Linked DNA regions of Schizosaccharomyces pombe. The gene in region 1 interacts genetically with each later gene. Each region holds a gene or a part of one and is shown in the gene's direction. Other genes may lie near its edges.

Evidence for each region.
Region 2: mutations in ppk15 (region 1) and rud3 together harm fitness less than expected from each alone (positive genetic interaction), as found in Schizosaccharomyces pombe (one large-scale study listed by BioGRID).

The regions. Positions count from the first base shown.
Region 1 is NC_003424.3:2,583,579-2,588,280, forward strand, and holds ppk15 (serine/threonine protein kinase Ppk15), read left to right. Parts: upstream 1-1,594; 5' UTR 1,595-2,176; coding exon 2,177-2,365; intron 2,366-2,412; coding exon 2,413-3,828; 3' UTR 3,829-3,896; downstream 3,897-4,702. Other genes in the region: tom6 (uncharacterized protein), read left to right, coding at 285-324, 363-469.
Region 2 is NC_003423.3:738,107-742,482, forward strand, and holds rud3 (golgin protein Rud3), read left to right. Parts: upstream 1-2,156; 5' UTR 2,157-2,168; coding exon 2,169-3,374; 3' UTR 3,375-3,770; downstream 3,771-4,376. Other genes in the region: double-strand-specific ribonuclease Pac1, read right to left, coding at 1-689; U4/U6 x U5 tri-snRNP complex subunit Prp31, read right to left, coding at 3,857-4,376.

The DNA.
Region 1 (4,702 bases):
GGAAAATTTTAAAGGAAAAAATTTGTTTCCGCAGCGCTACTCTTGATTATTTCGTAAGACCAAGTAAACTAAATATAAAGCGTTTTGTCTTAAAAAACTATTGCAGTATAGAATGTTTCCTCTACTGCAAAACAAAATCCATACAGCTAGCTCTTAGGGTTATCAATTAGGGTTATTGAAGCCATACATTTTACCTGATCACTGTTTATGGCAGCGATCACAGTCATGTTAAATTACGTTACAAGTCGGTATTTAGCCACGTTCCTTCAACCACTTAGTCAAAAATGGATCGCATTTCTGCTCAAAAAGATATTTTCAAAAAGGGTATGTCCCTGTAAAACTATTAATTTAACATCTTTTAGTCGTCAATAAGGAAAACTCTTCCATTTTCGTGAGTCTTGGCGTATTTGCAGTTTCTGTAGCCATCTTGAAATCCAGACTGGGAAACTTTTTGGTACCACAATTGTAAATGGATGTTTGAATTTCACGGACTAAACGTCTTCAGCTTTGGATTCAGAAAAATATTACTTCATAACGTTGTATGGTTGTTTCATAAATAAAATGAACTCCCAGTTTCAATAAAGGTTCAAAGCTAAACAACATATATCTTTCATGAATATCATTGTGCTTTGTAATTTTTGTTAGCGATCTAAAATTTGAAATATTTATGTTATCTAGTGTCATGCGAAGTACGTAGGAGCATTAGTTGGTAGGAACATTTTTACATATAAGCTAGTTCGATTCTGATATCTTGCGTCTATTTATGTTTCCTTAGATGTTTGAAGTCAATAACCAATATTCGTCCATTCACTACAGATTTTTGTGTGAACATTGGACTAGGAACCATTTCGTTTGTCGTTTATGCGAAAATTTTTATGTACGAATGTAGTCGGCGTGGAGAATGTTTTAACAACGACTCCTTCATTTACAGATAGATGCCAAACAAGAAACGTTTTTCCTCCTTTTAATATCCAACCGGTTACATGGTTGTGCAACATCCAAATATACTAAGTATGGAGAATATCCGTTTTTTCGAAAAATTGCTACTATTCTGAATTAAGGATGCGTACTATTGGTAAACATTGCGCTTGATGTTTCGAATAAGCCTTTCAATGGAAGTTGTTTCTTATTTATCGCGGTTATTGGTATAGACGGATGTTTTGCACCAAATTCATTCGTCTTTTCAAATACGAATTGATTTCGTTGTGGAGAGTAAGAGCAGGAACCTTAATGTAAGCGAAATTATCGCCTTCTTAAGTCATGTCACGGAAACCTGAAACAATATTTAATTATTTAATTGGGATCTAAGATCCAACTATTTAATAATATAAGAATCAAAAGATCCTCTTCTAGTAACTTTTTCTTGTATTTTTTTGCAAGCCAAAGTTTTAATGACGGCCTTTTAATTCATTGATACACTCTATTACGTAATAGATTGAAAATCAGTAAAACTGATTAAGGCATAGCAAGCAATTGTACTTTATTTCAGTCATCGTCAGCGCCGTTACACGCGGCTCACTACAAAGCGGTGTGTCGTCATCCCTTTCCTTCAGATTCCTCTCTATCCTTTAACCAAGCCGCTTTTTTTGGTTAAATCCTTCATCTTTCAATAAATTGCGAAATCTCTCAGTGTTGTTTTTCGTATAAATTTGTAATTTATACGGTGGAGTTGATTAGTTATTCGTTCAACTCGCACTGTGCATATTTATCGGCTTATTTTAGTGAATATTTTCGATTTTCTGCCGAATATTATATTTGTATTTGTAGCTACACGCTATAAACAAGAAAATTAGAAGATTCCTCCAAATTCATATTTTAAGCTTCATATCCACAAGTGTTTCCCTTTGTTCCAGATCGAGATTATCGTAAGCGAAACTAGCTCTTTGTCAGTTGTTCCATTAAATTGATTAGCCGGTTGGTGCGTTCATTTCAAACTCTTTGACTTTTTTCCTTTAAAGCACTTCTTTTTTAGATTCCTTTGGTTAATCTGTCAACTACTACTTTGTAAATAGTATAACTTGTGGTTCCTTTTTGCACTGTTGTGCATCGACTCACGTTCCAAGAGATCACTATTTTACGTTACTTTAAAGTGATTCGAGTGTGAATGAAGGCACTCGTATTCTGCCTATACTGATATATTCTTTGCAATACTTTACAAAAAGGCGTCTCTATTCATATGGATTCGGATTCGCCCATTCTTCCATTATCGAACAATCCTCCTGCTGCGAGGACTCATGATCACTCGCAGCGTAATAATCATGCTCGTCATGTCTCGTCTTCTGGAACAACTTTGTTTGCTCCTGTCAAACCGGCAACCAAGAAATACAATTACAGAAGGGTGTCTCCCCATGGAAGCTATATTAGCGTACGAAATTTTTTACTTGCTCTGCATTTTACTAATTAAACATATAGCCCTTAGAAGCAATGACTGTGAAACTAGCTGATACATATTCAATTTGTAATCCAAAATTCCAGTTTTCTTCCGAACAAAACCCTCGGAGACCACTCACCAAACCCAGTGAAGGAGTTCACAACCATGGTTTTGATAACGTCAATCATGATTATGTATTGTATGTTAACGATTTGCTAGGAACGGATGAAGGCCGTAAATATTTGATTCTCGACACCCTGGGGCATGGCACATTTGGTCAAGTTGCTAGATGCCAAGATCTTAAAACCCAACAAATTGTAGCTATTAAAGTTATCAAAAATAAGCCGGCATTTTATAACCAATGTGTGATGGAGGTTTCTATACTAGAGCTCCTTAACAATAAGTACGATCCAGAAGACAAGCGCCATTTAATTCGTTTATATGATCAATTTATGCATAAAAATCATTTGTGTCTCGTTTTTGAGTTACTCAGTATTAATCTTTATGAGCTTATCAAGCAAAATCAGTTCCGTGGTTTACATTTAAGTCTTGTTCGTTCTTTCGCAACGCAACTTCTATCGTGCACATCTCTCCTCAAACAAGCTCGAATCATACATTGTGATCTAAAGCCGGAAAATATCCTGTTGCAGGATTTATCATCACCGATTGTGAAAGTGATAGATTTTGGTAGTGCTTGTCACGAACGCCAAACAGTTTATACCTATATTCAATCGCGATTCTATCGCAGTCCGGAAGTAATTTTAGGACTACATTATAACTGTGGAATTGATATGTGGTCTTTGGGATGCATTTTAGCTGAACTATTCTTAGGTCTTCCCTTGTTCCCTGGAAATTCCGAATATAATCAATTATGTCGGATTGTTGACATGCTTGGTAATCCTCCCACTTGGATGTTAGAAATGGGTAAAAATTCGAAGAAATATTACAATTCTGGTTTTGTAAACGGTAGAAAAACTTATGAGCTTAAATCGATCGAACAGTTTTCTATCGAAAACAACAAAACAGAGCAACCTGGAAAACAATATTTTGGTGAAAAGACACTCGATGCTATTGTTTTAAATTATCCTCGCCGAAAAACCACACCTAAGCTTACTCCTGAAGAACATGAAGAGAGACTTTGTTTCATCGATTTCATAAAGCAGTTTTTAGAGTTAAATCCTTTGAAGAGATGGACTCCTGACCAGGCGAAAAATCATCCTTTTATCACAGGTGCCTCTTTCAGTCAATACTGCATTGACAAACAAAAACCACTGCTTACAACTCAAAGAACGAGGAACCGTTCTCATACTATTGGAAATCAAGCGGTGGTTCCTCCTTCCTTACAGCGTGCAAGCACTTATGTTTCCAACGAACCTGAAGAATTTGTACATACTCGACCGCTGCCTCAATATTATCCTCCCGCTAATGAGAACGAAAATGTAGATGAATTTTTCTAATGTCATATTTTACGTATAGAAACATTCAAATTTATTTAAAATATTTAATAGGCATGATCCATTCCAAATTTTTTTTTTATGTTGTACCAATTTTCTAATAGCTTTCGTAAAACGTTTTCAATTTTCATAAAGCATTCAAACTTTTGATGATATATACATACTACGAATATTTTCAAAGTTCCTTCGAGGCTTCAATATGCAGTTTTCAATAGTAAATAGTATAAAGCATTTACAAATTTAACGCTATATTTAGCGCTACGGTAAATACTCTATGTAGAGAGGTTTTATACTTTTATGTAGTAGACATTCACAAATCGCCAAAATGAAATCAAGTTCACTTGAAAATGGGACTCTTGCTAATGCGGGTGTTTACGAAGATGATCTAGATAGCGACGAAGAATTGGTCTCAGAAGAAGAATTTGAAAACTTTAATAATGAAGATTCAGAAGACGATGAAGACTCAAACAACGAATCAAAAACAGCTAAAAGTCGTATGTTAAAAATTCTTTTATTTTCTTAATTAATATTTACTCACAAATTTGAAGAGTTAGCTGAGATTCCGTTTGATACATTGTTGAATGCTCAAAGGGACCTGCTTAAAGAACAGCAAAAAACAAAGATAATGACAGAAAAAATATGAAACATACTGAGAAAGTTGACAAAAAATTTTTGGCGAAAGAAAGAAACACGCCCCTCAAGAATTGTCAAGTAAAAAACCAGTTTCTCGTTTTCGCGAAGTAATATCTGAACCAAAAAAATTTACTCGTGATCCCAGATTTGACTCTTTATCGGGAAACTTAAGTAAAGATAAAGTGAAAAAAAATTACGGCTTTTTGAATGAATACCGAGTATCGGAAATCCAGCAATTAAGAGA
Region 2 (4,376 bases), on another chromosome or scaffold:
AGGACAAGTGTTTTATCAAACCCATAGAGCCTTGCAAATTTATCAGCACTTTCGTTGCCAACAAATTTTGCCCGGAGTTTGGAAAGACTTCCTTCATCCATTTGAGGGAACTTGCTGAATATAATACGCGTAGTAAACAAATTAAAAAAGCTGTCACCAAGAAATTCTAGCCTTTCATTATGGATATCCAACAATTCATTCGGATTCGACTGATTTGGATAAATTTCATAAGCTCTAGAAATATGCATAAAAACTTGTTCCTTTAGTTTCTCAGACCGTAAAGGTGGTAATGGCGGGGGATACTCTCCTTCTTCAAACTCCTCAGATGTTGGTTCATTATTTTCTTGATTTTTTTGATTTTTTGGGTGAGAGGAGGGTTCTTCAATGACAGGTTCGTTTTGGCGATCATGCCTTGACTTCAACATTTCGTAGACTCCTTCAATATGGCTCCAAGTAGAACCAGGGATAACCAAATTCACATCATCCTTTGTTGAATGCTTTGTTTCTTCTAGCAAGGCTTTCATAGCAAACATGAGTTTACGAATTTTTTTTTCCAAAATATAATACTGCCGATTTTTTATGTGGCTACTTCGCTTGTGACCAAGAGACCTTCTTCCTCTTGATAAAGAGTCGGAAGCGGATGAGGAGGAATCTGAGTCCCCTTCATGATGCCTCTTAAACCGTCCCATAGGAAAATGGTAGAAATATAAAGTAGATTGTGAGAAGGAAAACGGTGCTAAAAGAGACAGAAGTATCCAAGAATGCTGTATTGGGATCTACTTAAAAAATCGGTGTCAAAAATGGCCGAGAATTAAGTACGGAACAGAGTTCCGGTAAAAATATCGTCAGTAGAAGAAATGTGCAGTACCAGGATACTGTTCTAAGGGCCACAACGAAAAAGTTATTTACCCAAAATTACTTTACTTTGTGTTTTCTTTAGAAATATACCACAAACAGTAAAGAACAATCAAGAAGTAAAAAATGATCAGCACGAAAAGCTCCGTGTAATATACAAATGCAAAAAATCTTGTAACAAAACAATCAACCAAAAACAGCTCTCCAATGTGAAGAACACCTACCCAGCTAAGAAAAAAATGCAAAAAAAATGTTCTTCGAATAGCTGAATATAAAAAAATAAATATTTTTTACAGTGAAAAAAGTCTTTTTCAATGTTATAATCTTCAAATCTACCAATTAATGATATCTGAAGCAAATCGAAAATGCAGCGTAAAATCGAAATGTGATTAAAAACCGTATGTTGACCAAACCAAGGACCAGCAATCCTCCTTATTTGAAAGAAAGCTCTATCACCGTAGATGCAAGACAACGCTACTTACTTTGCAAAAACCCGAATGAAAAATAAACAATCTGAAATGCAAGTTCGTAGGAACTACCAAACCGTCAATATGAATAAGAAAACAACTCTTTTCTTTAAAAAGAATATGCAGACTCGTTCAACCTCATATGTGTGGGAGTTTGTTTATGTTGGGCAGTGAGGGACGAGAAAGGAGAAGGAAGAAAGAAACACTCTTTTTCCAACTTAGCGGTTTATTTCACCACGTTCGTTGGTTAACATGAGCAGAGAAAGAATAGGGGCGTACCGCAGCACAACGGTCAACAAAGTATGTTAATGTCAGCAATACTACACTACGCTATGATACACTACGTTGCGTATCACTATATGTCATATGTTGGAATACTAGCTAAGATCCGTTTATTGATAATCACGGGTAACTATCCGTCTATATACATAGATACCCGTTAATAACAACTATTTAGAAATATTATAAATAGCGTTACAACTGAACCTCGTTCCTCAGTTCAGTTATGAGCTATATTAGTGATAGGTAACATTATAACCCAGTTAATACAATACCTATACTCAGTTGCTACTTATACAACCTGTGTATTGTAATATAAATAGACCATAAGGAAAACTCACCGCAGTTCTACGTATCCTTAAATCAGATACCAAACTGCGTAGCTTACAGTTAAAGTTGAATACGTTGCTACTGTTTATTGTAGTAACAAATTTTAAAGCAAAAGGTTTAGTATTTCGTAAACCAAGTTAAAGGAATATTATCGAGGTTTATGGAAATGTTTACGAAAAGATGGATGTTTTAGGGCCACTCTAGAGCTCACTAATTCAATTTCCCATAATTTCTGGAATGGCAGAAAATGCAGGAAATGAAACAAAATTGGTGGAAAATGAGAATTTACAAGAGGATTTAAGTCGTTTGAACTTAGAAGATGAAAAAAATGAGCTCAAATTGAATGAAAAAGGCGGAGTTTTGAAAGAAAACGATGAACATTTAGAATGTTCAGAATCTTTCAAGAAATTGGCGGAGAAGGAGGAAGCTTATCAAACATTAAAGAATTCTTATAACTCATTGAAGCAGCAACACTCTAATTTACTCGGGAAGGTCTCGGGAATTAAGTCAACGTTGGGAGAAAGGCTTAAGAAGGATTCTCAAGAGTTAGCTCAAAATCGAAAACGAATTCAAGAGCTCGAAAAGTCTTTGGGCGATGCAGAGGAAGCACTTAAGTTGAGCAATGAAGAAACCGTAACCTTGACCGCACAAGTAGAAAGCTTAACGCAAGATATAACAGATTTGAGACAGCAAAATGCTTCGCTTGTTGAAGAAAATCAATTGTTATCGACTCAATCAAAACAATGGGAAAGAAGAGCCAGAGATGAACATGAGATGCAAGAATCATTGGCCGTTCGATTGGCAGATTGTGAAGAGCAGCTAGCTAGAGAAACTGAAAGACAAGAGCAGTATGAAGTTGAAATTCAACGTCATTTGACAAATCAGCATCAACTAGAAATTGAATTAGAATCCACCAAAGCTTCCCATACTGAAAACCTCGGTGAACTTACCAGAAATTGGCAGAAGGCCATGGACGACGTGACTGAGAAATTCGCTTCTAAATCAAAAGAGTACGAAGATTTGCAAAATGAGTTAGATGCTACACAGAAAAGGCTTTCAAGGGTCTCTGATTTGGAGCACGAGGTGAAAGAAAAAACCCTACTTATTGGTAAACTGCAGCACGAGGCCGTTGTTTTGAATGAACATCTTACAAAGGCTCTCTGCATGCTTAAAGATGGAAATAATGCAGAAAAAATTGACAAACAACTTATTTCTAATTTGTTTGTCTCCTTTTTGACGCTTCCTCGCGCTGACACTAAACGTTTCGAAATATTGCAATTAATTTCTTCCGTGTTAGATTGGAACGATACGCAAAGGGAACAAACGGGACTTCAACGTCCTGGTTCCTCTGTAAATAATTGGAGTATTCCTCACAGTGCGTCCTCTAACTCTCTATTCTCCGATCATTCCTTTTCCAAAAGACGTTCTTTCCATGACTCATAATTTTCTTCCACACTAACCGATAATTTTACGTTTCAATTGAGCAATGGTATGAAAGATTTTTCTTTTTTCTGTAAATAATAATATCTTTCGCTCTTTTTATGTATCGCTTTTTTTTTTCTTACTTCACAACTTAATTAGGGGTTACCTTTTGCCGCGCGTACAAGGTTTTAGTATTTTTTTACTCTCTTTTCACACATTTTGAAGGTTGACTATATCATTCTTGAAGTAATAGTTTCATACGTTCATTTTGATATTTTGCCTTCTCCTGCTATGCCTAGCTTTATGGCAAAAGCGCTTGTTGCAATTTCATCTATTAGTCAATATTCTTAATTTTCAAAATTGTTTGTTAATATCAGTTTTTTCGAAGAATTTTAAAAATATCATTTTATTTTAATCACTCAGGTCATAGTTATGGTCTGTATTACTAGTATGCAAAAGCAACATAGCTATATGCAAAGTAACTAATCATTATGAAGACATTATTATGAAAATTTATTTTTCGGCTCATTAGAATCCTTCTTTATCTGTGTAAAAACACCATCACGAAACCATTTGTTGGCCTCTTCTACTTTTTGTTGTCGTTGAAGTAAGGGGTTCACTAGTTCAATGCCTTGAATAGGTGTGAAGGATAATGAACTTTGTAAACCGCTTGCAGCAAGGGGATTCTTCTGTGCCATTGATTGTAGTTGGGCCTTCCGCGCTTTTGGTAACCGTAATTTAGTTCGAGAATCAATTGACACTGCACGAATTTTTCCTTCACCTTCTTGACCAAGCATACCAAGACCTTCCGTTTCGTCAAAATTAAAGACTTCCGCCTCCTCCTTACCAAAGGCGACGCGATTCTGTAATCTCCGCAATTCCGTTACGGCATATTGCTCTTTCATCTTGCGAATTCTTCTTCCTCCACGACGACGTTTTGGCCTATCGTCAGGAACGGGTAGCGCAACAGTTGGTTTCTGTGATGGAGGTTCCAAAAGCTTTTCAATTTTCCGTTCAACTTCC